Coturnix japonica: one gene and its partner. The protein of the gene in region 2 binds, or shares a complex with, the protein of the main gene of each other region. Links are inferred from orthologs where the notes say so. Each region holds a gene or a part of one and is shown on either strand. Other genes may lie near its edges. The genes, in order: histone H2A and PAXIP1.

Evidence for each region.
Region 1: the proteins of PAXIP1 (region 2) and histone H2A are in contact, whole or in part, in a crystal structure (PDB 3SQD), measured with the Homo sapiens proteins. The link is inferred for Coturnix japonica from reciprocal best matches to the Homo sapiens genes PAXIP1 and H2AX. Residues at the interface, in NP_031375.3 of Homo sapiens: Phe871, Thr872, Gly873, Phe874, Pro876, Lys907, Thr909, Arg910, Thr911, Val912, Lys913, Pro986, Glu1050, Leu1053; in NP_002096.1 of Homo sapiens: Gln138, Ser140, Gln141, Glu142, Tyr143.

The regions. Positions count from the first base shown.
Region 1 is NC_029539.1:18,921-33,843, reverse strand, and holds histone H2A, read right to left. Parts: upstream 8,098-14,923; 5' UTR 7,816-8,097; coding exon 7,387-7,815; 3' UTR 7,092-7,386; downstream 1-7,091. Other genes in the region: HMBS (porphobilinogen deaminase), read left to right, coding at 374-446, 949-998, 1,113-1,168, 1,779-1,856, 2,140-2,217, 2,749-2,824, 3,456-3,569, 3,683-3,721 and 4 more; DPAGT1 (UDP-N-acetylglucosamine--dolichyl-phosphate N-acetylglucosaminephosphotransferase), read right to left, coding at 8,684-8,749, 9,653-9,808, 10,163-10,250, 10,905-11,093, 11,350-11,434, 11,574-11,720, 12,283-12,496, 12,770-13,162; phospholipid transfer protein C2CD2L, read left to right, coding at 13,807-14,052, 14,454-14,549. UniProt on the Homo sapiens protein: Variant histone H2A which replaces conventional H2A in a subset of nucleosomes. Nucleosomes wrap and compact DNA into chromatin, limiting DNA accessibility to the cellular machineries which require DNA as a template.
Region 2 is NC_029517.1:6,806,360-6,821,975, forward strand, and holds part of PAXIP1 (PAX-interacting protein 1), read right to left. Parts: intron 15,085-15,616; coding exon 14,440-15,084; intron 12,440-14,439; coding exon 11,725-12,439; intron 11,025-11,724; coding exon 10,930-11,024; intron 9,990-10,929; coding exon 9,894-9,989; intron 9,358-9,893; coding exon 9,220-9,357; intron 8,533-9,219; coding exon 8,411-8,532; intron 7,889-8,410; coding exon 7,704-7,888; intron 7,582-7,703; coding exon 7,538-7,581; intron 6,800-7,537; coding exon 6,732-6,799; intron 6,348-6,731; coding exon 6,245-6,347; intron 4,158-6,244; coding exon 3,989-4,157; intron 2,791-3,988; coding exon 2,690-2,790; intron 2,019-2,689; coding exon 1,884-2,018; intron 1,801-1,883; coding exon 1,725-1,800; intron 1,212-1,724; coding exon 1,151-1,211; intron 702-1,150; coding exon 686-701; 3' UTR 1-685.

The DNA of each region.
Region 1 (14,923 bases), on a different chromosome or scaffold from region 2:
TGTTTGATTCTTCTGCCGTCATTATTTCTTTACTACTTTAAGATCTAAAAAAGCACCAGTGACAAAATTCATGCCGAACTCAGTACGTTGTTGTTGTTTTGACTTGTTATTGCTTGGATCTCAGCAGTGCTGGATATGAGGCAGGTTATTTTGCTGCTGAGATTAAAAAAGTTATTTTGTGAACTGCTGTGGTCACGTTACAGGCTCAAAGTGTTTGTACGCATGAGCTGTTGTATTCGGAGCCATTTCTAATGCTTACAATTCAGAGAATGTAGGGTCGTGCATGCACTGCTATCAAAGAACGACAAAGTCCCCTCTAGTTGCTGTGCAGCTCGTGCTTTGTGCGCAGTGCTTTGTTTTGGTTTCATTGCAGCTGGCCCGAATTCAGACTGACAGTGTGGTTGAGATGCTCCAGGAGTTTTACCCTGACCTCCGCTTTGAGATCAGTAAGTGGTGTTTGATTTCTCCGCTCCTGTTGCTGCTCTGATGTAGTGGCAGTAGGAGCCAGGCAGTTATTGTTGTGTGCAAGGTGTGTGAATAGAGTCAAGAGGAGGAGAATTTTCCTCATGTTATCTAGGCAGAGCGGTCTGAATTCGATTAGGTTGCATGGCTGAGCAGCTGCTGCTGCTATTTTCCAATGGAGAATGATTGATTAGACAAGCTCCTGTTGACTGGGACCTTTATCTGTCATACAGATGATGTTACATTGCTCGGTTTGAGAATCTGGGCAATGTCTTTAGAGTTGGCTGTTCCCAAAACCTGCCTTCTCTGCTTTTGTGTTGTTTGAGATGTAAAAGAAGTCTCAATTTCACTTCCAACATAACCTTAGAAGTGAGCTGAATCTGTCTGGAGGCTGTTTGCACAGTGTGGCAGTGTGTTCTGCTCGTTGGGTGTGAAGGAGATTCAGTGTGCTCTGACCGTGCCTTCTGCTTTGTGTCCTCTGAGCAGTTGCCATGTCCACAATAGGAGACAAGATCTTGGACACAGCCCTTTCTAAGGTAAAGGATTTATTTCAGGTGGGAATTAATTAAAAATACACAAAGAACTAATAGTATTTGATGATATACTTGCAGATTTTCTTCATTGATTTGTATTTCTTTATTTACTTGTAGATTGGGGAGAAAAACCTCTTTACCAAAGAGCTGGAAAATGCACTTGAAAGAAATGAGTAAGAGCTCAGTTTTATTACTTGTCTGGATTTTTATTATTATTATTATTATTATTATTATTATTGTTATATGCTGTAAGGGTGATCTGTTTCTTTCTGTTCTTTCTGAGTAAGGAAGAAATCCTCTGATACAACATATTTCTCTTTTTTTTTCTTCTTTTTTTCCTTTAACTCCGTACCCTGATTTAGGCCCCGTTTTGGAGTCGTACTGTTCTGACTCTTAGTCTGCCCTGTTTTTTTGTGTTTTCTCCTCTGATTTGTGTTACTTGTGTCTCAGAGCTCGTGTAATCTAATCCATGCTTGCAAACGCGTTCTTTATTGTACTACTTTGTTACTGTATTTCAGTGTTCCATGTTAGCACACTGCGTAGCATATTTACTGCTTATTAGTGTTTTCCATACTAGAAAAGGTAGAGAAAAGTGACGTGGCTCTTTAGAATTGCTGTGTAAGTCTGGTAGTAATTCTGGCTATGGAGTTCTGAATGTTCTTTCTCTTTTCTAAACTAATCTCAAGAATGAATCTGCACTTTCCTGTTGTTACCTGTAGGTCTCTGGCACTGCATCACCCAACCATCTGCTCAGTGTTGTGATTACTGTTCTCTAATTCATAGAGTTGACCTGGTAGTTCACTCCTTGAAGGACCTGCCAACTTCTCTTCCTCCTGGCTTTACCATTGGTGCTATTTGCAAGTAAGTATGTGCACAAAGCCTGACTGCCTGAGGGACTTAACGTTTTGCAGTGTGGATAATGATAGAAAATGACGGCTTAGATTTTCTTTGTTGTTTGACCTTTGACTATTCTCTGAAACAGCAGGAGAACCAGTGTTCTGTAGCCAGCAGGTTTGTTGAAAATCCTTGCTGTTAAAAAAGGAGAAGCCTTTTGGAGCTAGGGATGGTTCCTTTGGGGACTGATACCTGTAAATAGCCTTCTGTTAAATGATGTCTGTCATTTTCCTCTTCCCTTCTTTTGCAGAAGAGAGAACCCACTTGATGCTGTTGTCTTTCATCCCAAAAACTGTGGGAAAACGCTCAGTCTTCTTCCTGAAAAGAGGTGAGTAGGGATAAGGGGAAGACAGTAAAGTGTAATAAATAAATAAATAGAAAGGAGGGATTCGTTCATATTTCCCAGTGACGAATCAGTGAGCTTCTTCCTTTATTCTGTAGTGGTTTTTGTGCTGCCTTCAGCTGGTTTTCAATGTACATTACAGTGAACCTGCTTGCTGAAGAGAGCTATGCTAATGAGAATGTTGTAAACTGAGTTTGGATGTCTTTAACCACCTTTGAGATGTATTACTTTCTTAAGTGAGACCCTTCCTTGCTTCAGTCTCCAGAGTGAATATCAGGTCCTTCATGTAGTGCTCATTACAGGAGGATGCATACAGTGCAGGCAGTGTGTTCAGAGCAGCATTCTAGCCTGCATGTCCATTCTCTTGTTCTCACCCAGCTGGTGGGTTCTTGGAGCTTTGTTTCTATCCTAGTGGGGTTGGAGGAGCAGAAATCTTTCTTGAAACTTCTGACATATATTCGAGTGAAGTTAAGTTCTGCTGTATTCTGGATTTCATTGATTTAATTTTCCCAACAGTGTTATTGGAACCAGTTCACTTCGGCGAGCGGCCCAGCTCAAAAAGAAGTTTCCTCAGCTGGAATTCAGGGATATCGTATCCTTTAATGGTAAAGTGTGGAATCTGGACAAAGTTGATTTATACTACCTGTCCGGCCAGAACAACTTCCTCAAAGGCTGCCTCTTGTAACCTATCCTGTAGTGTGTTTTGTTCTGTTGTTTTCTCATGATTCTACAAAGAAACAGCCCAGCTTTAATCTATCTGCGATTCAAGGTGCTGATGCGTTTCATGTTCAGGAATGTTCTAAAGGCTGCTTAGTGGAGGTCAGTTTGTGTTTGTCAAAGTGGCAGCCAAATGCTGATTGGTCCATGATACCTTTAATGTGTTTTGGACTGCTAGTTTAGATGTGTGCCGCTAAAGTGGTGCTGGTAAAACACATTATTACCTCAGTCCTAGTAACCCAGTTCTTTGATCTGCAAAAATATTTGATGTCAGATACAAATGATGCACTTAAATGGCACGTATTTTTTGAGAGTGCTTACTTGTATCAATATTTCATAATAATCAGCAGAATTCTATTCAAAGAAACAATTGTCCATATTTAGCACTTTCAGAATGATTCCACAACTGATTCTTATCTGGAGGTTTTAAGCACGGTTAAGTGAATGCGAAGTGATTGTACAACTGTTTGCATACTGTTTCTCTACTTACTTAACCACTTGTACAGAGAGGGAATTTAAACACCCGCTTGAAGAAGCTAGATGAGAAGGAAGACTTCAGTGCTATAATCCTGGCTGCTGCAGGGCTGAAGAGGATGGGCTGGGAGAATCGCATTGGTCAGGTGAGAGTCAAAGTAGGAAATCCCATCACCTGCTTGACTTTCACACTTGCGCCTTCTTTCTTTTTGTTTTAAATAGTGCGACATGACTTAACTTTGTTTTTACTTTCTTCCAGCTCCTGAGCCCTGAGGACTGTCTGTATGCTGTGGGACAGGTACGTTCCAATTTTTCTATGTTAAGCCTGACTGCAGTGTGATGTGTCACGTGGTGAACATGACAACCAAATGCCTCTGATCTGTTTGTTGCCAAAGAAGAATTACAGTGATTTGTGTTGCAGCCTGTTAGTCTGCTTATGTTCAGTGTGTGTGAGGAACATTAAGTCAGCTCCACGAGCCTGTGTGTAACAGGTTTGATATCTGTCAACCACAGAAATAGTCGGTGGTACAGGTAATGTGTGGTGCAGCTGCCCTGGGACAACTCTGCAATTACGAGGCAGGCCGGTGTTGTGCTCTGCTGGGCTCACTGTAGAAAGGCACTGCAGTGTGGGTGCTGTGACACTCCCTTACATGCAGTGTCCTTACTCTGGCAACTGGAACTGAAGCATCTGCCTTGAGGCGTGTTGTTAGCATTCTTGTTTCTAGGTGGATTGTTCCAGCCTGTGCTGGTCATGTGGCTGAATTTACACAGTGTTGCGTAATTGGTATCAACTTTGCTAAACTGAGCTGGCGATGCATTTCTTAGTGCAATCATTATTGTAATGTAATGCAGTTATTTCCCAGACTGGATGAATTCCTGATTGGTGAACAGCTGTTGCTGTGTTACTTAGAGGTTGGAAACAGTGAGCAGTGACACCTATAGAGTTATCCTGTGACAATACTGAAGGTAGTCACCAGATGAAAGTGGAAAGTGAGCCAGAAATAGTGTTGGTTTTAATCATGTCCTTGTCGTGTACAAAGCTTTTTTCTTTTGTTTTCTGTTTGGGAACAAATCGGTTTGTGGTTGCTGTTATCTTTGGACGAGGCTGTAGAACTTACTTTTATTCAACTTATGCTGTTGTGACAGCAGATCAGGTGTTTGTATCTGTGTAGTCACAAGAGGGAAGCTGAGCTAATAGATGTCAGGTGACTGATCTTCAGTACTCATCTAAGTTCTGAGCTTCCCTTTACAGCAGTTGCCTCAGGATATCTTGGAACTAGTTGTTTCTTGAATGATTTTTGTAAAGTCTCTGAACTTAAACACTGCTCCCTCAGTGAAACACATCCAAACTTCTGAGTTGTGTTTCGTGACCAGTGCTGGGTGCACACAGATGCTGAAGTTGAGGAGTTCTGCTGTTACTGTTGTCTTGCAGGGGGCTTTAGCGGTGGAGGTTCGTGCCAAAGACCAAGAGACACTGAATATGGTATCAACCCTACACGATGGAGAGACTGTTTTGTGCTGCATTGCTGAGAGGGCTTTCATGAAACGTTTGGTACGTGTGTCATCCTTGCCCTTCTACTTGCAGCAGCAAATACTGCTCTGCTGCAGTTAAGCTGATGGCGTGGTGTGGGAAGGCTGTTACACTTTTATATTAAAACTGCCGAGTAGGGAGAACTTGTGAAGTGCTTGAACAGCAATAGCTGGGGCTGTGTGCAGAACATACATTTCTGAGGCCTCTGCTTTGTATGTGCTGAGGAAACTCAGTAGCAATGTCTTTCTGTTTGCAGGAGGGTGGCTGTAGTGTCCCTGTTGCAGTGAACACCATGCTGAAAGATGGCCAGGTGAGGAATCTTTGTGTGTGTATCTGGGGTTATTTATGGAAAACTTTCTGTGTGTATGTTCTCTGATGTTCGGTTCAGCAGATGTCTTTACAACTGAGCAGGGCAGATAGGGATATTGTTCAAAGCAGGAGAATGAGAATGGGTCTGAGAATGAGAGGCTGAGTCCTAGAAAACACCCTTATTGTGATAGATTCTTATTTTCCTTTTCCACCCCCCCCTTTTTCTAAAATCTCCTGAGATCTCAGACTCTTCCTTTTGACTCCAGTGAATTTATACAGCAGATTATGAACTAAGTAGGTAGAAAGCTAGAAAGTATTGAGGTTCTTTCTTGGGAAGATGTGTCTTCCCTAGCAGGGGTTATTTGCATTGTATCAGACTGCCGTTCTATCTGATGGGACTGGACTGCAGAAGTGTTCCCTTCTGGGTTGGTTTTGTGCTATTAACCTCTTCTGTCTTTCAAAGTTATATTTGACAGGTGCAGTCTACAGTTTGGATGGATCTGAAAGCCTGAAGGAAACAATGCAGACCAGCGTTAATTATCCACAACAGGTATGCAAATCATGTTGGACTTCAAATTCAAAGAGGTGATGGAGGCCTAGAGTATTTGTTATGAGGAAAGACATGGAGACCTGGGGCTGTTCAGCCTGGAGAAGAAAGGCTGGGAGGGATCTTAGCAATGCTTGTTAATACTTAAAGGATGGAAGTCAAGCAGTTGAGGCCAGGCTTTTTTTGGTGGCACAGAGCGGTAGGAGAAGGGACAGTGGGCACAAACTGAACACCGAAAGTTCCATACAGACATAAGGAAAAACATGTCTTGGAGGGTGACATACAGTTCGCCCAGAGAGGTGAAGGAAAGTCTCCTTTGCTGGAGATATTTGAAACGTTCCCGGATGGTTTCCCGTTCAGTCTGCTGCAGGGAGCCTGCGTTCAGGGGAGTCAGACTGGTTGATCTCCTGAGGTCCCTTATAGCCCCTGTGCATCTATATCAATTATGAGATATCTGGTTTCATGCATTGTTTTAATTTATTTATTATTGCCCATTCCTTCCCACAGCCTTACTTTGATGTTTGTACTTGCAGAATGAAGATGGACCAAATGATGATGTGCAGCATGTTGGCATCACAGCCAAGAACGTCCCTGCTCAGGCCCAGGAAGCTGCAGAGAACCTTGGCATTGAACTGGCTGATTTACTGCTGAGCAAGGGAGCCAAGCACATCCTTTGTGTGGCACGGCAGCTGAATGACGCCTGCTGAGCCTCTGTGAGATCAGCAAGATTGCTGCAGCTCTTGCTCCAGTCTTTGCAGCTACTTACCAGCTTTTGGAGGAAGCGTTTTTAACACTTGCACCAGCCTTGTCTGACATTTGGGCATAAAATACTTGAAGTACTAAATTGGAGTTTTGCTTTTCTAAGTTTACCTGAGTTGTAAAATCTCTGTGAAACGCGTTTAAAGGGTTTTGTTGCGAGGAGAGATGTAGTAGCAATTGTTCTCCAATTGCATTTAGTAACAAAGCACCAAATACAGGTTATAGTCAGACTAAACAGGGGCAGTGCTGGAGTGCTGCACTGTGCTGACAGCACAGAAGTGTTTTCTGCTAAACTAGTGAAATTGTGGATATTTGGCCCTGGTATCTTCAGGAATGCTGAAGGAGATCAGCATTAGGTTCCCAGTGCAACTACATAGATGTAGAATGAGGACAGGCATTGATATACAGTAACTGGCAATCTTTGTGCTGAAGCATAAGAAATTTGCCTCTAGTTCATGGTTGAACCATCGTGTTGCACTGCCATGTTGCAGTGCCTTACAGAAACATCAGAATAACCCATTGTTGGGTTCCGGTTTTGGAGCTGAAGCATCGTTTATTTCCTGTGCAATGTCTGCTGAATGCAGCAGTCACGTTGTGAGCACCAGGTGTCTTTAGGAAGAGCATCACGTATCTGCATTATGTGACTGCACTGCAGTATCACGCCGTGCCTCCCGCCCGCTCCCATCGCAGCTCCCCCTCGTTCCCGCAGCCCCCGGCCGTCCCTTCCCTCGGATCGCAGCTCTCCCGGTGAGCAATGGAGCGGCCCTGAAAAGGGCCTTTGTGTGCTGGTGGGGGAAGGGGAGCCCGGCCCGGCGGCCTAGTATTCCTGCGACTGCTGCCCGCCGCCCTTCTTGCCGGCCTTGGCCGGGCTGGCGGCGCCTCCCGCCTTCTTGGGCAGCAGCACGGCCTGGATGTTGGGCAGGACGCCGCCCTGCGCGATGGTGACGCCGCCCAGCAGCTTGTTGAGCTCCTCGTCGTTGCGCACCGCCAGCTGCAGGTGGCGCGGGATGATGCGCGTCTTCTTGTTGTCGCGGGCCGCGTTGCCCGCCAGCTCCAGGATCTCGGCCGTCAGGTACTCCAGCACGGCCGCCAGGTACACCGGGGCGCCGGCGCCGACCCGCTCCGCGTAATGGCCGCGCCGCAGCAGCCGGTGGACGCGCCCGACGGGGAACTGCAGCCCGGCCCGGGAGGAACGGGACTTGGCCTTCGCTCGGGCCTTACCGCCACTCTTACCGCGGCCAGACATGGCGCCTCGCAGGGACCGGACACACAACGCGGATCTGCGGAGCTCTGCGGCGGGACAAGGGGAACGCGCCTCCGCCCCGGCGCTTTATAACCTCCCTCAAGGCAGGGCCGCGCTGATTGGACGGCGCCACAGCGCCTCGCTATTGGAGCTCTGCCGCCTGAACCTCTTTGCTGACTGGCTGGCTTGGCGCTCACCTCCCACCTATTGGCGGCGGCGACGGACCAATCAGAAGACAAGGCGCCAAATTCGTACCACGCGGCGGACGTTGGCGCTCACGGCCGGGTACGGTGAGGGGGCGGGGCCACGTGAGCGGGGGGCGGGGCGAAGCGCCGGCAGGGGGCGGGGCCATGTCACAGCGCACGTCAATGTCCGCAAGGCAGAACCGAAGATGGCAATGTACCTCGAGTTCTTTTATTCTCAGAACGCCCTGAGTACAGGTACGATTACAGCACGTCATTCTGCATCCATGGACTCATTCATGAGCCAACAGGGCAATTCCAGCTCACTTGTTCTGCCGTACAGCCTCACAGACGCTGCAGTTCTTATTTCTTCTCTCAAGGAACAGCAACATGTTTCTTACATTTAGACGTTCCATTTCTCCTGCTTTCCCTAAGGACTCTGTACAGATTCGTGTTGCTTATTTCCCATCTGAAAGGTGTTCCCGGTAGCAAGGACATGCAAGCAGTGCTGACTGTCAGCAGAACAGGACAGAGACGCTTTGTCCATAAGAAGAGAACTGTGATTCTAGGCCGGCCTGGAGCAGTTCCTCGTGTTTTGAAAGGTGGCTTCAAGTTTTCAGATCAAAATATCAGATGAATTGAATTGTTTTAGTACAGTTCACTGGAAGGTGCCGCTCCTGGAAGCTCAGTCAGACATCATAAAATAAGCGCACCAGCTGGTACCGCACTGAAAATGCAATCATGCTGCCCAGGACCTAGGATTAAAAACAGACAAATAAATCACAGTAATAACCAACCTGAATCTGAAACCTTACATCAGACAGTTCACTGGTCAGCAGGTTCTTCCTTTACAGATGGATTTGATGTGCTTTAATACACGGCCTGTTCACTATGTAGCACTGTGACCTGACTCAAGACCAAGCTGTATGCGCTTCCTATTCCCTTCTGCCAAAGATGTACTTGGCCCGAGCCCCGCTCTCTCTGTTGGAAGTCTTCTGTTGGAAGGGGAATTTAAGTGCTTTTTCCTAAGGAGAAACTCTTACCTTTGAACTGACACTGAAGAAGGAATTGTAGGCAATTAAGCTACGTCTTTTCTGAAACAAAACATCTACCAGGTAAGAGTTCACGCATTGAGTAGGAGTAGCAGCACTATCTGCAAGGTATGTTCTTGCATTCTGAGTTGCTTCAAAATGTTCCCACACCACACTCAAACTCCAGCTACCACTGAGTTGCATGCCACACTTACGTAAGGGCACCAGCTGGAGATAACACCGGTACTACTGTTATTTGGTATGACTGAAACACAGAACTGCAATAAAAGGCTGTGCTGTGTTAGAGTGACAAGGCAAGAACACAGTGCTGTTTTTCCAGCTGTTCTTCTAGCATCCAGGCACTCATGCTCTGAGGAGTTTCTCAAGCTAATCTAGGGCCTTAAAATTTAATAGCTCGTAGTTAAGGAAGCTGGGGACTGAAAGAAAGGACAGCTTCTTCCTGGAGCCGTGTAAACCTCAGACTCTCAAGTTGCACAACCTTAATTGCATCTTGCGTAAAGTGTGTGACACTTCCCATCCCCCTTTCCCCTAGATATTCTTGAGACAAATCTGGGTCTACTTCTATCACAGAATATGTTTCTTTGCTACCAGGAACGTTTGTCTGACCTGAATGAGCAGCAACAGGAGAGTGAGATTTCGTTCGTGGATGGGTCCAATCAGCTTTATAACAAAGTTAATAAGCGTCATATTATTGCACTCGGAGTATTCACCATCTTCATCCATTCCACTCCTCACATCTACTATGTGCAAGATCTTTACTACCTGGGGAAAAAAATATTGCATGCCATTTGCCATTTCATCAGGTATGTTTGGTGCTTCTTGCTAGATCCATTTTGTTGTACCATTCCAGTAGTTTGGCTTGGACTCTTACAAAAGAAACAGGATAGGCTTATGATGGTCTTAGGACAATTGCTGCAAGTGGTTGTTTTAGAAGAGTAATTATGAAGATGTAGTTAACATAGTGACTGCAAGAGACAGTGACTGAGCTAATTATAATGTGTTCTTCTCGATTTGAGCCAGGAAATAACCACTGAACCCAGAAGTTCTGCCTTCCCTCCTATCCTGCTGCTCCTGCCTCAAAACATGCCTAGTTTTGGAATGTTTTCCTGCTATTACCTTCAGAATGTATGTTCCCAGGGTTGAGAGGCTCTTAGTTTTGAATTTGGAGTAGCTCATCTCCAACTTCCCTGTTGTAGCATTGAGCCTAAAAGGAACGATAAAGTCTTAGTCAGGAAAGAGCAAAGAGACAGTGATCCCTACGTAAATAGATTTATATCTCAAGCCAAGTTGCTGAGAAAGAAATACACTGGTGAAGAAAGTAATGATATTCTGATATTGTATAGGAGCAGCTGCTCACACCTTGGTCCCTCAGACTGGGCAGTCAATAAAAGATTCCTCTCCTCTTCTACCTAACACATGCATAAAGCTGCAAGGTTAGAAGAACTGAATATATCTAGACATAATTAAAATCAGTGATAATACACAGTGATGCAGAATGCTTGCTACTGTAAGATCTTAGCAAATCCTAATGCAACAGCAGTAAGAACGGCCTGTATCCATTTATCTCAGTCTTGTAGCTGAGAATAATCATACTCTTAACAGTATGTATATGTATTCTTTTCTAGTACATATTACAGTATGTAAAATGTATTCTTTTCTAGTACATTTATTTGAGAAACTTGTGCTGATAGATTCAACCATAAATAGCGTGGCTGGCCAACTTTTAACCATCCAACCTACTTTGATTATATTAAATTAGATTAAAAAACTAGATATTAAAAAGAGCACCAACCAACGTATATTATTGTTTCTCAGCTGGCATAAACTAGTACCATTATAGATCTCTCAGGTACATTACCTTGGCAGTCGGTGGCGGGGACAAGGAATAATGTGGAAGAGTTGAGGCAATGAGTAGAGGAAGTTAAGCACTTGTGGGATGAAAAAAAGGAGCATTGTTTTGCTGAAGTGGCCCAGGATCCCCACCACAGCAAAGGTCATGCCAGCAAAGTAACAGAAGGTGTCCCCAACAAACACTTGGGATGGGTACCTGCAATCCACAAGGCAAAAGAGAAAAGGTCTGTCATAATCAGTGCTGCCAGTATAATTGGCTTCATGACCACCTGAAGACATTTCCTAATGGCAAGGTTGGTGCATGAAAGATACCAGTGGATTGCTGCTTTGCATTCTTAGTTCTAGCAAGAAGCCTGTCTATACCCCAGTATATTGCTTACATGTTGATGTTTTTGTTTGCAAAGGGAAAAAGAATATGCTTCCAAAGGAATGCTGAATGTTCATCCTCTTACCAGTTGTGGTAAAACAGCCCCAGCGTTGTAAAAAAAAACGGAATCATAATGTAGAGAGAGAAAATGTGATCATCCTGATAATCCCCTACAGGAGAAAAAGGAAAAAAAATTAAAAAAACCCGAGGCTCTGATGAGACAGGACTAGGTTCTTTTTAACTACGCCAACTACTGAAATCTGGGTTTTTATTTCCATTTGCTTTTTGCACTCCCAAGCATTACCTTACCGTTTAACTCTACAAGGTTGAATACGATAATGGAAGCAGCAATCACCAGAGACTGCCCTGCTTCAATCCCATTAATTCCAGCGAGAATGTTGATGGCATTAGTACAAAACACTGCTAGCATGCCCATGTACACATAGTAGAGGATACCTGCAGGTCAGAACGAGGCAAGTACTTTAGCATTCATTTTTGAAACAGGCTGTGGTCCAATTTACTGAAATTGTAGTTTCCTGTTTTGTAGGACAATCCATTATATAGTGTCTCAGTAAGCTACTGATTTCAAAATGTACTAGCAAACAGTTCCTTCTCCTGTACATGTTATCGTATGTACACGTGTACAGCACAGTGACTGCAGCAAATGTGCAACACAGCAGCAAACCGTGGCGATGCTGCTATTGGCATCTGAGGGCCAAGGGCCTTTGGCACTCTCATACTGCCAGAAACCTGGGAAAAGTCATGGTACTTATCTATGCCTAGCTAAATCCAGCATATATATATATATATATATCCAGCATATATATGCTGGACGTCTTGCTGGATCTCTGGATGGCTAATCTTGCCAGTATGATATTTAGTTGGTGATGTTCCCTCTCAATGAATAATTAACAAATCTTCCACAGGTTCCTTCTGCAGCATAGAGACTGACAAGTGTTAAAGTTTGAGATGTGCTCCTTAATTCATTGCTAACGACCATCAGTCAGTCAGCGCTTACCCAAGTCCAAGTGCATGCCCAGAAACGCCCGGAAAGGCTTAGGCACCACAATGGTTGTGTTCCCAAAGTTGGTGAAGTACACCATGAGCAGTGGGAGGGATGCCATGGTGGGGAGAAGGAGTTTGTGACGCCAGCGCAGGTTCAACACATCGTCTGCAAAGCCCAGGAAGATCATGCAGCAGATGGCAAGGAGCGAGCCAATGAGCTCCACAAACTGCGGGACAGAGAACGGGGCTCCGGTCACTAACGGGCATTCCCTGCTGCCGCGCTGCAGGCACACGGGAGCCCTACCTCGTCGTGAGGAAAGGCCGCGCACTGCTCCTCTACGAAGCACCGCAGGAAGGGCACGGGGATGAAGCAGAAGAGGATGATGAGGAACACGGCCCCGCTGATCATGCCCTGCGCCTCGGGGCTGCAAGGAAGGGGAGGCCAGCGGTCAGCCGGGACGTGGCGGGCCGGGCCGGGCCCGGCGGGCACCGCTACTCACATGGGCCGCCGGGAGACTTTGTTCAGGTCCTCGCCGAAGAGGCGCGCCGCCAAGAAATGCTCTTTGAAGGCCGGGATCAGCGTGAGCGTGGCCACGAAACCCAGCAGCGACCCCCCGACGTTGATGAGGAGCGGCGCGGCGGGACACGCCGCCATGGCCGCGCTGGGCGCTGCCCCGACGGGCGCGGAGCGGCTCCGGGCGGGTCCGGGCGGCCGGATGCTGGAGCGGAACGGACCGGATACGCGCGCGCCTTTTCCGTTCGGTCCGTGAGGGCGGCGCCATCTTTGGCCCTGGCAGCCGCCGCTCCTCCCGTTCCGCCGTCACACGGCGCTTCCTCCTTCCTCCCCGCACCCTGAAATAAAGAAACAAATCCGCGTTCGTTTGGGCCTTCATGAGGCGCTGTGGGGGGAAAAACAAGTGTTGGGGAGAAAATAAAGAAATAAAGAAATAAACACACGTTAGTTTGGCTCTTCCTGAGCCAGAAAACCCTTCCCAGGTGTGTTTGTGTGGAAAATGGCACCGTGCAGGTGTGAGACAGCGGGCTGCAGCCGGGAGATGAGCGGGGCGCGGGTGTGTGTGTCAGCACAGGTGGAAGAGGGCCGGGCTCATCCGACAGCCCAGCCCTGCCGCACTCTCCGCCTCACTCCCTGCCGCACTCTCCGCCTCACTCTACTCTCTGCCTCGCTCCGGACAGCGCCGAGGCTGTCTGGACATAAATGCTGGTGGCTGCAGACCCGCAGACCCGAACGGAAGCGGAGCGCAGCGGCACAGCGCCGTCCCGCCAAGGCCGCGGGGAGGCGTCGCTCCGGCACCGGAAGAACCGGGGCGGCCGCCCTCCTTCGTGCCGCGGGTCGCGGTGCCGCTGCGCGTTGCCGGCGCGCGGCGCCGCCGGGCCGGGCTCGGGCCACGTGCACCGCGGCATCGGGCCCGGGGCGGCCCTGCGCTCCGTGTGACCGGACAGGAGGCTGTAACCGCTGGGCCGGGCAGCGGCCGCCCGCCATGCCTCCCGGGCTGCCGTGAGGGCAACGCGCAGCAACATGGGGCCGGATCCGGGCTGGGCCGTGCTGGTGCTGCTCTTCGCCGCTTCGCTGCTCACCGTCGCGGCCTGGCTGCTCCAGTACTGGCGGTCGGCGGCTCTGCGATCGTCGCGGCGGCGGGTGCCGGTGACGGAGGAGGCCGGGGCCCGGGCGCTGCTCGCCGCGCTGCTCTCTCTCCGGTCCCTGCGGGAGCAGTGGCAGCGGGCCTGGGTGCGAGCCCTCAACGGCCAGGCGCGCCGGCACGGGGTACGGCGGGGTGCGGCGGGGGCCGGTGAACTGAGGGCCGGGCGGGGCCGGGGGCGTTGTGCAGCCGAGGGGGATTGCGTCGGATTCGGTCGGCGCCGTCCCCCCTTTGCGGGCTTTGAGGAAGGCAGAGACCTCGCCAAGCGCTTGTCAGGGGCTGTATAGTCTGCACTGAACTGTCCGGAGCAAGCGCTCGGTGTGCTGCGTGTTTGTGAGCCTGAACCAGAGATAGGGTTTCTTTACTCTGGACAAGCCAGAATTGCAGTGTGGTCGTGTTTGTGTGCTGGTTGGATTCATGGAATTGGACTAGAACGTCTCTGGGGTCCCATGTTAGACTTGCCCATCCTCTCTAAATCTGCCTGAGATACCCTGTCCGCTGGGAGCTAACAGAGTTCTCTTTGTAGAGTTCAGTCCAGATCACATTTGAAGAGGGTCCTCAGTTGCCACCAGCAGCAAATATAAGTGGTGTGACGTGCAAGGGCCAGTCGGGCCACAGCATGGTAAGGCTTTGTTATTCTGAATTGTGTCATGTGGGGTTTCTCTGCAGTCAGTCTTGTATGGGGATTGTTGATGTCCATGTCGTGGAAGTGGTAAACCCGGGGGAAAGTCGTGGGCTGGGTCCATAGTTTGATTCAGAGATTGCAGCTTGGACTATACATTGGTGAGCTCTGTGAGAGCAGTGGATGAGATCCATCTGATAAAGCCTAACGTAAGGATGCTGAGCCTGAGTATCAGGGCACTGTGTTGCAGGGAAGAGATCTCCTTTGTCACTGATAGTTCCTTGTTGGCTCACGTATGGAGTTTTAAATGGCATACTTAGAGAGCAGAACTGGGGCTGGCAGCTTGATGTTTCTGTCTTGCCTCAGTAGGTTAA
Region 2 (15,616 bases):
CTTCCTTCAAGCTTTTCTTTTTCAGTAAAAACTCATCTATAAATTTTTAACAATTTCCCCTTTAAAGCATTGGGTTTTTTATATATTAAAACATACCTGATAAAAATAAGTTCAAAATAAGTTTACATTGCTTGGAAAAAGATTTGAGTAATTTACTCTTACCAGAGTGCCACTGTTGCACAGTATTCAAAAAAATGAACCACCACTAAAATATAGAGTAAAACATTTAAAAGTACATTTATTTAAAATGTGGGCAAAATATCAATATAAAAGAAAATAGAGTATAAGAAATAAAAATAAAGTACAAAACATTTTCATCTTCAACATCCATAATTTAATAGACAGCAAGCCCTTTTATTTTTACACCCAAATTACACTTTTGGCTGAAGTACCATCATTAACGTTAAAATGTTTAAAAACTGGCTAACTGTGATACCTAAAGGGGGATCTTTTAAAACGGGAGTATAATACAAAACATAGTAAATTATGTTTCCTCATAATAAAATTACACATCCTAAAAATGATGCAGTTTATTTTTGCTTCCCTGCTTTAAACTGCTCTTCATCCCTAGGCAAACAGCTGGAAAACAGCATCCACAGGAAGTTTTAGTTACTTTGTACAATGGCTGAATAGTTAGATTTAATGCTCCATGGGCTCCGAAGCACTAAGGCAGTTTACTATTCCTTCAAGTAAATTTATATGTACGTGTGTTAAGAAAGAACAACTTTTAAGAAATGACTGTAAAACAGAACTTTGACAAGTATAAAACACACCCATAAAGATACAGTACCCTTTACCTGGTCCTATAATGCACTTATCAAACAAAGATTATAATCTTCCTTACTAAAACCTAATTGTCAACTACAAATTACCCATGCAGATACTTTCCTTACTGACACTTATTTTCCATGGTTGCTTAATATTCTACTATTGATGCTTTCTGAGAACCCTGCACCCCATCTCCACTAAGGTATTTTCTATTAAAAAGTAACCCCAGTTGGAGTTTAAACTAGGTTTCCGGGTGTTAAGCTGTGCTCTTATCAAGTAAACACTGCACAGCCTATAAAAACTTAGAACTTAGTTAGTCCCTAATTAAGAAAAACTTTTGTTTTCCTTAGGCAGCTGATAGCCCGCACACAAAAAAGGATATGATTCATAATCCAGTGTTTGAGTAAGTACTCCAGTCAGGACAAATTCAGCATTGTGGACATCTGGAAATATCAGAAACATGCATACAGTTAAACTCTTACAAAGACGCTTCTTCCGCAGGCTCATCAGGAGGAGCCATTCAGTACCTTTCTGCTCTTCATGCAAAGGCAAAAGGGAATATGGCCCCATCACTACCAGCACCCTACTTTTAGCCACACACTTTATACTACAGATACTACCTTCAGAACGTATGGTTTACTGATAAACATGGCATGTCTTTAAGCTCTAAACTGAAAACCTCCAATCTTTAACTTGACAATCATGCATCACACAGGACTGCAACCCCACGTTCAATATTACTCTAGCAGAGATTTGTGGTGACCTGGCTAGAAAATATGCATATTAGAAATACCTAGGAATCAGCTGGCTCAGACTTCTCCATGACCTGTGGGACTGACCACATACCCCTCTACTACCATCTGACATCTTCAACAGGTATCTGTACTTGCATTAATTTTTACTGTTATTATTTTACATCTTTATTGTTCAAATCACAATGATACGTTTATACATACCTATGCCTCTAGCAAAATATTCTCTACACAGGTGAAGGTCATTTTCACAGGAAATCAAGATTATCTCCGGCAAACTCTAAAGGAAAGAAAGCAATTGTAAGCTCAGAACAACATGATAAGATATTACCAGTAAATTTTAGAAGGCAACACTGTACACACTTTATTCTGTTTATGCTCCATGAGTTTTCGAAACGAAGGTTGTTTAGATAACACTTTTCCTCCTGCGCATTCCACAATAGCTTTCATGGTAGAAAGACTGGGACAAATTCCAGGTGTAATGTAAAAATACTTTCCCTACAAAGAGAAAAAAAGGAGCAACAAGAAATGTTATTTTGTTAACTTATGTTTGCAATATATTCGTGCTTCTTTATGGATGAACTTTAATGCAATCATTGGCTGCCCGTAAACAGCTTACAGTGGCCTAAAGCAACAAATCCAACAGCTAATGAGTTGTCTTTAATTACTGCTCATTTGCTTTCCCTAGAGGGGCAAACCTGTAATTTTTTTTAAATTTTAATAGCTTAAATATTCCTCTTCCAACACCTTCCAAATAACAACCAGAAAACCTTATATTACCACTTCTTGAAGGAAAAAACCCAAATAACTGCAATTTGTTTAGAACAACACTGCTTGCTTCGTCAAGTACAAGCATGCCCAGGGGGTTCCTAAAACCTGAGTAACTTTTAATTAAAGCTTTCGTTTTTTAAATAAATATAACTATACATTAATTACATATATTACTTCCCGGTAAAAATCATCCAGCAACTTGATTGGGTCTGATACAGATGAACAGATCACCAAGTAGATCAAGTTTGTTTATCAGCTAGGACTGAAAAACTGATTGAAATGTACTATTCAGATTTAATAATGCTTACTCGGTACAGGTTGTAAAAATACACTTTTTAGGTAGTTTGTCTCTTTGAAAAGCTCCAAGTGTTTTAAATGTTGTTCTCAAAACTGCCTACCTTGAACAGCGGAGCTACTTGTGCTCTCTTCAGGGACTCCTCCAAACTGAAGCAGAAAAGCACCTCAGCTTCAGCATCCCTCAGCACGAAGTTCTGCTCGTCTGAAAGAGTAACAAATACAGGAAAGACTGCAACACCATCATAACTTAAAATCTAACCCAATGAGAAAACATTAGTGGCTGAGTGACTCTAAATGCTAAAACAGTAATTTTAATGTGATTATAGTACCCCTTTATTAGGATGACACACAATTATTTGGAGAATAAAACAGCTCCACACTTCCTTATCTAGCAACATACACTGTTACACAGACTCCTCCACTTGCCCAAAAACTGTCTTCAAGCTCTCATACAGCCCTAAAAGAAAAACCTTTCCATCTACTTCCCCTCTTTATCCTGTTATTCAGCTGATTGTTTTTAATTGTCTTTCTTAAGTTTGGGATGGTATTTCAATCTTACCTTCACCACTCTACAAAGCCATGTTAAGCGTATTTCAAAATCAGATTTAATTCAACACAATCGAGTTCAAAGAGCAAAAACAATTGAATATTAAGAAAAAACTGGTCTTCCCAGGGACAGCTTTGACAACCTGCAATTCTTTGCCACATTCTCCATCATTATGTTATGTACAGAAGTAAAGGCAACCCACAAATGAACTACATTTCAGTAAACAAGTACTACATCAAAACAGTCATCCTTTTAAATCCCCAGACCTTATTTATCCTCTAATAGCTTTCAAATGGACTGATTTCTCAGTTCTCTGACACTGAATCCAGAAAGTTGCTGTCTTCAGATTAATACAAATGTTTGCTAATTTACTGGTTAGTTATTCACAGATTTAAATCTTTGTGATCGAGGTAGCAATGTTACATGCTTGCTCCTTCCAACCAAATTACATGAAAAGCATTAAACAATAATAAAGCAAATAACCAGCCTTTTAAATCTTCAGATCCAGCATCCTTTTCAAATAAACTGTTTTGTTATTTACAGATGTCAGTCCTGTGACAGCTTTAATCATACCAACATAACCTTCTACCTTAATCGAAATACAAACAATTTACTAGTCTAACAGATTTAAACTTAGCACGTAATCCTCTGTGAGTTCTGAACTACGATGGTCAGACTTGCTATAAACTTAAAAACCTCAGCATTCAAAATGGAAACCTACAGAGAATCTTCAAGAGACATTAAAACTCAAAATCTCACAAAGAAAGGGTTTTTAAAGCATGAAGGCCATCTTCACACACTAAAATCAAACAACCTTAGGTTTATAATACGAACTGATCGCAGCTTAGCTTACCAACAAACTTCTGGCATTTGAAACACTCTTCTAACCAGTCTGGAGTTACGATGTGCTTGACTACAGATATTGCAGTCAGGAACTTGACAGTGCGGGTCACTTTACTGGCAATTAGGTGGGTGCATTTCTGGGCAGATTCTGCTACTTCACCCCCAAGAATATACAGTTTCTGAAAGTTGTAAAAGAAATACAAATCAGAATGGAACAGTTGTTACCAATTGGAAAGAACAGAATATGGAATCATAACGTTGCCATCAAACAAAACTAAGTTCTTCATGAAACAGAAAATGTAAGAGGTTTCTGTATTGTAGGAATTCATTTACTAAGGGTGATTAATGAACAGAATTTACAGCTATGGAAGATCCAGCTATTCTCAGATATTAATTACATCTATCTAAAATGAGAGCTATGTGGTACTGCTTTACTTTTTATACAAGATAAATAATCAACAGATACAAGTTAATTTTGTGGGGGTTTTTATGGGCTGAAAATGTAATGATTTTGCTCTTTTCCTCTACAAAATGTATGACATTCACTGCAGTTTTGGTAAACCTAACTTTGCTACTCTTATTCATAGAGGACAAAATTTCCTTGCATGAAAGCCACATATATTTTACATGCATCTGTTTCTTATATATTTTAGATGATACTGAATAACTACCACTTTTTTTACTAAGTCTGAATTACCAAACCCAAACTACCTCATCAGAGTTGACATCTCAGCTAAGATGCACATGATTTTTAAGCATTAAAATTGAACATAAGAGGGTGATTTTATTACATCAGACATCAGATGTTAACAAAGCAAGAAGGCTCACTGCATGCATTAGAAGCCCTGAAATATGTCTGGCATCCCTCTGTACTGCTCTGATAGTAACAAACAAGTTAGACAGGGACAATGTTTTAAGCTTTTCCTTACTGTGCTGGCTTGTTTTGACAGCTTACATCAAGATGATACAAAAAAGTATTATCCAATACACTGCATCTCTCTACTGCTAAACTCCTCTGAGATATGCAAAAACACACTGTGAATACTAAAGTTGTACACACTGAAATGTACAAGCTGTTGTTTTCATCCATAATATATATTCACCTCAAACACTGTATACCTGTGAGTACCTTACAAGATTTGCATTCTGATTTCAAGGATCCGTTTGGGCGTATAGGAAAAAAAAGACAATCTCCAGTTCAAGAAGATGGGAGGTATCTTGCCTCAGGAAGGTATTCAAACACTGACACTTTTAATGGTATTATCCCTGCAACATTTGGTTTCAACATTACAAGCCTTGAGGCCAAAAATTTATTTGATGTATTTGTGAGCCATAGCTCTAATGAACATTCTTCATACAGTCAACTTGGTATCAGCATGACAGAATGGGGAGAAGACAATGGAACTTGAGCTAGATAAACTGAAAAATTATTTATGTTTCAAAGTTCTATCAAGCTTCAAATAAAAATACCATAATGGAAAAAAAACTCAAAATTCCAACTACATGATCATACCTAAAGTATTTTTCAAGAAGAAAATAGGTTATTTGGGGTATGCTTAAGTGACATGTACTTCTAAGAAACAGAGAATCAAACTAGTCTTCATTTGCTTTGGCTTATCTGGAGCAGGTGAAAGCAACAAGATGTTTCACGCCCTACTGGGGTCAGCAGTTAAAAAAAAAAAACAAATCACCACCTCTGTGTCTCAAATTTCAGCCAACGTGTGACAAATCACAAATGAAAAACTATTTTTGAACTAATACTTAGTGATTGTTAAAGTTCAAGGAATGATTGGATTTTTACATCATTCAGTTTTGGGAGCTATTTAAGAAAGATCTGAACAAAACTTTGGAACATATGATCTCAAGTGTGCCATTAGTTCTCCTATCAGCTTCCTCTGAAGCATGTGAGATTATATGAGAAGTAGTCTGGGTCCTATCTAGTACAGTAATCACTACCTTCCTCACCAAAGTTTGGTTGTGAAGTTTGCTGATTAAAACAAACAACAGAAAAACAACAACAAAACATCACAAAACATGAAAGGGCCTCGTCTTTTAAAACAACCATAGTGAAGAAGAAGGTAGCAGAAAAGCATGAAGTAAACTAAAGCAGGAAAATTATCAAACAAAACTGATTTCACATAAATCTACATTCTGATTTCACTTGCAGTATCAGTTTTTATTCAAAAAAAAGCAGGCTAATCAAGTCTTAGAAAACAAGAACACAAGTGCTTCCACATAGTTTACAAGAGGTAAATGCAAAAGTCACCTTAATGTACTGTTGAACTTGCATAGGTTCAAATCCTGTGAAGAGCACCATTGGCGTCAACTCTGGTGTAAGCTTTTTAGTAGGCGGTGGTAGGTCTTCAATCCTACAAAACGCATGAAATACAGCACAATGTAAGTCCGAGTGAAACACTGTCTTACTTTAAAAACAGACAAGCACACTCCTGCAAATTTTAGGAATGAAAATACAAAGATGAATGAGAATCAGGCAGGATCAATCTTCTAGATAAAAAAAAATTGTTATGCTGAGAACAGAGCATTTTCTCCTGATTCTGCTCTCTCCCAGTTCTCTTCCTATTCTGCTCTTTAGTTACTATTCTATTTCAGCCTGTTGAATAGCTGGCAATATGCAAAAAAAAAAATGCTACTAGTTATTTCAATTAGCAGGGCATGGCATGGAACCAGAATGCTGAGCAGTTCACAGTTACAAGGTACAGTAGTGAGGGACTATCGGCACTGATTGTTCTTACCTGGCTCTTTTGGAAGATGGCTGAAGACTGGATTCATTTTGCTTTGGTTTCAAAGGCAACCTCACACCCTGAAAAAAGACCATCTGTATGTTTACACCTGAACTGAGCAGGGAGCCCAACTTCTATTCTGAAACAGGAGAACTGTACAGCAGCATTCTGAGATCATACTTCAAACACAGAAATGATAAAGACATGCTAGAGAAGGCATTAAACACACAAACTCCTTAAAAGAAAATTAAGATTCCTAATGGACTATAATACCAATTCACAGGGGACTGCAAGTGTAAGACTGTTTTGAAGCTAAAGTCACAGTAAGAGACACAGAAATAGTGGCTACTTTTAAAGCTGAAATGTAGTAAGTCAACAAATTATACTAATACTTTAAATTGGATCTGGGTACTAATTAAGTTATTACAATTATTAAGCACCTGTCTTTAGGAAAGTATACAGATGGACTGAGGTATGCAAAAGGCTAGATCGAAGCATTTTTGTGTAATATAAAATGTTATTGTGTTAGATATTGACTCCAAAATACAAAGCCTCTTCTAAAGGTCTTATGTAAAAGCAAAGAGTTAAGAACTAGGCCACGATATTTCCAAAGTAATTTTGTATAATACGCTGCAGTTTCTTAGTTCCACAAAAGATTATTTTTAAGATTTATGCTAACAGACAACTAAAAGCAAGTGCCACCAAGACAGTTTGTGTGGGTTCTTCAGGCAGGTCTCCTCACACTAAATGCACACGTGCTCAGATGTGAAAAACACTATGCAGCAATCTAACACAAACAGCTGTATAACTAAACATACCATTAGAAGTTCTGGTGATACCTTTAATGGGACTCTCCAAGCATCTACAAAACGAAGAACACCACAGAAGTGCACAATTATTTATGGTAAGGATAAAGATGCTTCTCTTGATTAAACAGGTTTATATAAACAAATGCTACAGATCATAGAATTCTGGGACACTTACCCAGCAGGTTTAGAACTAGATGTTGACTAGGAGAAAGTGGATCTTGAAGACTGAACACTGTATATCGACTGTGCTGTATCTGCCGTAAAGCTTCAAAATTTCCCAGCAGTATGTCACAAAGCCACTGTGCATTTACACATGGTATTCTCCATTCTTTGGCTTTCTCATACTTCAAGCCACTGGGTCTTATCATTCAGAGATGAAGAAAAAAGGTTTTAATAAAACAGATACATAGCATTTATACTTATAGACTTAAATATCAGTATTTCTTTGTTGGCCAGTTATCTATTTTAATAATAAAGCAGGCAAAAATACTTTTGCTCTACATGTTAAAACAAGCAATATCAATTAGCAGAGAACTTCTGCCTCCCAAACACAGTTTTCCCTCCTCCAGCACTTAAAAACAATTATTCCACCCTCCCCTCCCAACCCCAACGTAATTTACTTACTGACAACAGTTAAGATCACTTGCAAAATAATCGAAAACAGCACACAAGAAATGACTTTCCTTTTGCCAGTTTTTAAGCCAAATTTAAAATAGAAGCACACAGCAATTATCTTCAAGAAGCACCATCAATAAGTTTAATGCTTTCCAATCACGAAAATAATTAAACATTCTTAGATGTGATCAGTACTTCACAATTAGAAACACATTAAGTGGTAAGAAGCAACTGAGGATGTGAGCACTTTGGAGATAAACCACTTACTCTTTACAGATGAGAACTGTGTTGCTGCGACATAGATAGCCTGTGTATTTGGCACCTGCTAGGTACGCCATCAGTTTGAGGTCATCTCTGTCACTATCAACAAATCCTGTCACAGAGATTATCTACATACAGACAGAAAGACAGAAATAAATGAAAGTAGAAGGTACTTATGAAACATCCCTGTTGAAAGTATTTCTATTTTAATAACTTTTTAAACGTATTAATGAAACATACATCTTAACTATGGTATGCAGGCACTTAAATATGGCTTGTTGCATACATAACATACAATTAAAAACCAATCTGTTTATACATATAAATTACAGGCTTCTTACCTTTGTTATCATTAGATAATAACCAAATATAACTTTTTACCCACTTTCCTTACACTTAGTCGTATCAAGTTTTCATTTTTTGCCATTCTTTCTTTATACTTAAGAAATTGCCAATTTTGTTTTAAAAGCAGCATAAAATGTTAGATGCACTGTCTCTGAAGACGTAAGAGGTTTGGATTCCTGTCATGTCGCTATGAATAACTCACATTACCTTTGTACCTTTCCTCCTTCTAAGAGAAGCCTCAAACATCGGTGTTAAATATTTAGCTCTCAGAGTTCAGCAAGATGTGCAGAGCACTCTGGATCATATGGTAGTATACCCCCTATCAACATAAGACTAAGATTATGATAAGTTTTTACTGATACGACAAAAGAAACGTGCATTTTGCTTTGACTAAGCACTTTCTAGCTACAATTTAATAAAGCTCGTGTAATGAAGCGAGCATTCTTTAGAGGTAAGCTTTTCCTTCTTACATGCTGAGAGCATGGCTTTCCTCCTGGTGGAAACGCCACTGGAAAATGAAGGGCTCGATGAGGTGGCACCATCTTCTTCTTCTTCAAGATTGAGTTCAGCCAGTGTGCAGTAATACACCTCTTCCTTTCTCTAAGTGCCTATGAAGATATGCATAAACAAAAGTTGAAATACATCTTCATTTCATTTCAGACTTTTTCTACAATATAAATCTTCTATTTCAGTGACTGTTTTTCTGAGCATTTTCATGACCCTGTTTCTCACAGAACCTTACTTAGTGCTATCTGAAATAAACTACCACACACATTATTAAAGCCTGTCATGTTACAAATAAGAAATGATTTAGAGAGGTGGGAGGGGGGGCGTGGAATTAAATAAAAGAGTGTATCATGGCAAGGGAGACTTTTATTTTACACTTAAAGCATTAAGTACATACTGAAAACGCCCCACCTTTTCATTAAGGGAATAAAAGCAGGCATTTCAGGCTGTCCAGAGAGGCTGTGGATGCTCCATCCCCAGAGGCATTCAGGGCCAGGTTAGATAGGATTCTGGGCAGCCTGATCTAGTGGGTGGCAACCCTGCCCACAGCACAAGGGCTGGAATCTGATGATATTTAAAGTCCCTTGCAACCCACACCTAGCAATGACTTAGTAATACAGGTTACTAATTTGCTTACCTGAGCATACATGTTACTGACTTGACTTTCACACAGAAGATGTGTACATCTGCTTGTAAGCGTAGGGTCCACAGTCCCACCATGCGTTTGAATGATCTGGGGAAACAACAAAACAAGAAGTTACCAAACAGTTTTAAAGTTATGCTAAGAAACAAACAGTCTGAAATGAGGTCTAGTGTTTAGGAGATTGAAATATTTCACTGAAGAGTTATCCCTCCTCCCCCCAAAAGGCTTGTTATCTAGTTTCAGAGCTTCCAGGGGGGAAAAAAAAAAGGAAAAAACAAAATTAAATATGTACCTTTTCAATGAACTTTAAAAAGTTTAACTTTATAAGATGAAAAAAATATATATGTAAACAAAAATAATCTCATTTTTTATTTTTGCAATATAACTATTAAGCAATTTTTTCACGAACTATTCAATTCTATCTCAGCAATAAACACAAGTGCTGTTAAAAACGTCAACAGCTTACTTGATTATGCAAAATTGTTGGGAAAATTCAATTATAAAATCCATCAGAAGTTTCTGAAGAACATCAAAGTCCTCTCATTTAGGAAAGGATACAATCAGATTTTTCTGAAAAATAGAAGTTGGCAAAAAATAGAAACACTATTCCTTTATCTTATTCACCCAGGTGGATACCTCATAGCCTACTAAGTGCCAAAATTATATGCAAAAAAAATTATTCAATTAAGTCAGAGTGCAATACTATATTACATTTGCACTATATTACATTAACTGCACTACAGTTGTCTAATTAAAAGCATAAACAGCTGGGAAACAGTTAATGCTCTAAATTAGCTAACGCTGTGAGTAAAAACCCAATTCAGTCAAACTCCACATGTAAAGCATTTATTACTTTTTTTGGTCTGCTGTAGTAGAATGATATTCATTTAAGTTAGAACATAAACATTAAACAAAATGATATCTAAATAAAAGTGCACAGAGCCAAAATATTTCCAGTTATTCCTTTAAGGATTCAGTTACTATGAGAGCAAGGTTATGACAGTTCTTTGGAAATACAGTAGAATCTTACCCGTTTCCAGGTTGCTAACAGCTGTTTATCAGACATCTGTTCTGGGTAATCAGCAATTGCAAAGACACAACCCAGCAGGAAATAATCTTCTGGAACTGGAATAGTTTGGCACATAAAAGAAGAGACAATTAAATACTTAGAAGTCTGCAGAGTTCATCTCAGAACACATTCACTACATTAATCTTCACTATTACCAAGTTAGAAACTGAATTCAACTCTGAAGTAAAGTCTTGTAGAAAAAGCAGGATGCAAAAATGAATGCTGAGAGGAATATACAGATCATCTATGATCAAAACAATTAAAGAGCTTTCAGTTCCATTGGCATGAACAGAATTCAAAGCCAGATGTAACAATTTTTTATATGATGCTGACTCCCCATTAGTTTGGAGCCAGCATTTCCAAAATTTAAGCTACCTTTCCAGTTGTTACCCTCTTTGAAAGCTTCTCCATTCCCCTCTTTCAACTGAAGGACATTACAATATGCACAGGCCAATGTTGCTCTCACAGCATAATTTATATACTTCATGCCACAGATACTTCTATACTTCATTGCATAGATTTGAAAATAAGAAGTTTTCAGGACTCTCATGCTTTTCAGGTTTCTGGACATTGTTATAATTTAAATGTCAGCATGACAATTATTAAAACAGGTCCTGAGCCATGAACAGAGTTTAAGTATTACATTGCCATATTGCAAACACAGAGCTGTTTTTAGTTGTTGTTTCAATATTCTAACCCAAATACCATCATGCCATTAACCATTTCTTTCCAGAACCAGAAGGTAATGTTACTAACTCTCTACTGACGGATCATGTCCAAAGAGTGGCTGCTGCTGCAGTTGTGTCTGCTGCTGCTGATGGTGCTGCTGCTGCTGGGCTACAGCTTGATGCTGTAGTGCTTGAGATGTCTGAGTTAAGTGCTGCGTTGCCTGATTCTGCATTTGCTGTTGCTGATGCTGTTGGTGTAATCTCTGTAAGTGCTGCTGTTGTAACTGTTGCTGCTGAATTTGTTGCTGCTGATGCTGTAGCTGCTGTTGCTGGAGGTTCTGTTGCTGGAGCTGCTGCAACTGTTGCTGCTGTAGCTGCTGCTGCTGCAACTGATGAAGTTGCTGTTGCAAAGCATGCTGCTGTTGGAACTGAAGCTGCTGCTGAGGACGGTGGAGCTGCTGTTGAGCATGTAACTGCTGCTGAGGAAACTGAAGCTGCTGCTGTGCAAACTGGTGCTGCTGATGAACTTGTTGCTGTTGCGAAAATTGATGAGTCTGTTGCTGCTGGAAAGACTGCTGGGATATCTGGGGTTGCTGCTGCTGCTGCAACTGCATAAGTTGCTGAGGTTGAAGATGTAAAAGAGGATGGTGCTGTTGCTGCTGTGCTTGATGTGTCTGCTGCAATAAATGTGTCTCTGGTGTTAGTTTCACTTGACTAAACAGCACCGCGTTTGGATGTCCCTGTTGACTATGATTTACTTGCTGTTCTAAACTTTTTGTAGGTGCTGAAAGTGATTGTAATATCTAGAAAACAAAGATTAGTTTTGTGATCTTTTTGTTGTCATTCAGTTTTTAAAGTATATAAACAACTACTGGGAAAAAGCTCTCTTAACAGAATCTTATACTTAAATACATACTAAGCTCAAGAAATAACCTTAAGTGCTAATAGTTTTCCCAAAGTAAAAAGACTTACACGCAGAGAAATGGATATTCTTGATAATATGCATTATGACGGTTAATTAGGTATCAGTAATTATACTCATCAGCTCGACCAACTGTAATACTCGATTTACAACCCCTTTGGCCCATTAAGTTCAAAGTTGAGCTCCATAGATTTTCTTTTACTTCAAAATCATTAATAAAGCTGCCATTAATTAGTGCTGTTTGAAACATGGGAGTTTAATGCAAGCCTTTGTTCTCAAATATATTCAGCTACATTTTAAAAGATGTGTCCCAAAATAAGAAAGAAAAACATGGATTTTCTCAGCACTAATAGTTCTTGAGAGAAAAAAGATACTCAGTTGATACAAAGTACTGAAGTAATTTGGAATTTCATTTTTAGATCTATAATTAACAGAGCAGAAACAAGTTAGCAAGAGGAAACGTTAGCAATGAGAAATCTGGGCAAATTCCTACTAAAGTCAGCTATTAAAAACCAGAAGGCAGGTTCTGAGTATCGCCAGAGAAGGAGGAAGCTTGTTCCTGCATTCTGCCACCCCTACAGTAAAGAAATCCTGGAGGGAGACTTAACCTAGATGGAGGATAATTTAACCAAGCCAAAGGGAAGTTCTATGCCAGAGGGTCAGATTAAGAGAGATAGGTAGATACCAGAGGGATCTGCCTTCCATGAGGCAGTTTCACAACTCTCAAAAGCAAAGATTTCCTCCAAGTACTGGAGCTAGCACCTTAACTCATACAGCAGCCAAGCATGGTACCTGAAAACAGCTCTTGTACATCACAGTCCTTGCACAGAACAACTGAATCACATCACCAACTGCCTTGTGTCTGCATAAGCATTAGTTGTGCAAAAACACTGATGTGAGGCCACTAAAGAGTATTTTATATAGTACAATGACCCTGCTGTAGACAACATTGTAATTAGACATGAAAGAACTGACCACCCTATCAAAATTTTGGCTACTCTGCTCATTACTTACCCAGAAATCTCACTCCTTCAGCAGTTCAAGGCACTAAAAGGAGGAATTTGAGTTTTACAAGGAAGCCAGCACTTCCTTCTCATACAGGCAACAAAGAACCAATGTTTCTGAGTGCCTCCCCCTCCTGTGTTTCCTTTGAGTACCACCTATAATGTTGTACATTATCCAGGGCCTTTGAAATTTTGACTTTCAGACCAACATCTCAATATTAATTCAGCAGAATAATTAAAGTTATGCCTATCATTTAGCAGCACCTGCTTTTCCCACATTCTCTTTCCATAAACAGGATTTCGACGCTGCAGGTTATTTCAGTGCATGCTCACACAATTTTTATTCTCCTCTAAAAATAATCGCAGCTTTTGTGTCGAATTTATTTCAACTACGAGTGTCAAAAGAAGTCGTAAATTAGGACTTTATCATAATCCTGACTATGCTGCCTAACAACTTAATGATGCCCAGCAGAACAGAACAGAATAGAACTGGACCTATTATAAGAACAATCAATTTTACACTTTTACATGTTTATACCACTAATAATTCCTTGCACTGAATAAGAAGCTTGAAGAAGCTTCAAATTAATTAACCTTTTATTTTCCCCAATGCTGATATACTGGGAAACTCTAAACCAAGCCATAGTTAAACACAGCTTTACTCAACTCTTTTTCCCCATGCATTCTTACTTCCATGAACCTGCTAGGAATGAAGATAATTATTATATTATAGGGAAGTTACTAATGTGGCAACAACTTCTAAGTGGCACATTTAATTTCTTGTACTACTGGAGAATAAAAGGAAACTTAGGTTCTTGGAAATATTAGTTCCTAATAACAGGTCCAATATCTTATAAACAAAAAATCCAACACTTACATGCGCTACATTTGATGGTCTATTAATCTGCTGAATATCAGCACTATTAGTAATATTCCTCAACGTCCGCACTGCTGGACTCCACGCAGACATCATCTCCTGTCGGTCAGAACTTTGGGCACCTTGTACCGAAGACATTAAATTACCTCTCATATCTGGAGGCAAGATATTACCTGGCACAGGTGGGACATTGGCACACAAATTAATTAACCCAGAGTCTTTTCCTTGAGGCAACCTACGCTTTGCTGTGGATGCTTGTGGAACTTCAGCTGGTGTCCAATTCAAATTCCTCTCCTGCTTTTCTGGAGAAGAATCTGAAGAATCATCAAACATCAGTTCCCCTTTTGCCTTATCAGCAGTAGTAGATTTTGGTGAAAAACCTTGGTCACCCAAAGGTGATCCTTCTCGAGAAGATGCCGGGCTTGATAACTTTTCATCAGTACTAGCTTCATTTTGAGAATCTTGCTCTTCATTTTCAGCTTCTTCCTCTTCTTCTTCCTCCTCCTCCTCTTCTTCCTCGTATATAATTAAACGAGGATGATATGGAGTCTCTTCCTTTTTAGCCTTATCAGCTATAGAATCCAATACCCACTCCGGTGTCACAATTTTAATGCTGTCATGCTTACAAGCACACTCATATTTCTCCTAGGAAAAAATAAAAGGACAAAAACATTTCATTGAAAGACAAATAAAAACCCCACAACCAAAAAAAAAAAACCGAACAGTTACTTATGGTGGGGATGGGATAGGGTACAGAAAGGCAGATCACAAGAGATTGTCCCTTATCTTTACAGTAACTTTTCTGTCCATGTATTAACTAAATATATTTCAATGAAAGCTTACAATACTGACAAAGTAGAATGTTTTATTCCTCCCTATGATTTCACCACTTAACTTTCCTAACTAAGCAGATGTGCACATAGAATGTATTTTCTGTGTGTTCAAATGTCCTCTCTGATAGGAACTCCTCACAAATATCCAAACAGTGAAAAAAGCTTTTAGTATGAGATTAGAAATTAATTTCAGAATCTAATATTTTAAAATGATTAAACTGGGATTTTCTTCATATGTCAGACAACGTAAATTAACAATCAGTGCATACAGAGGAAATTAAATCCATCTAATGATTCTCTAGACTTATTTCCTACAATGAAACTGTCATTCATACCCAATAAAG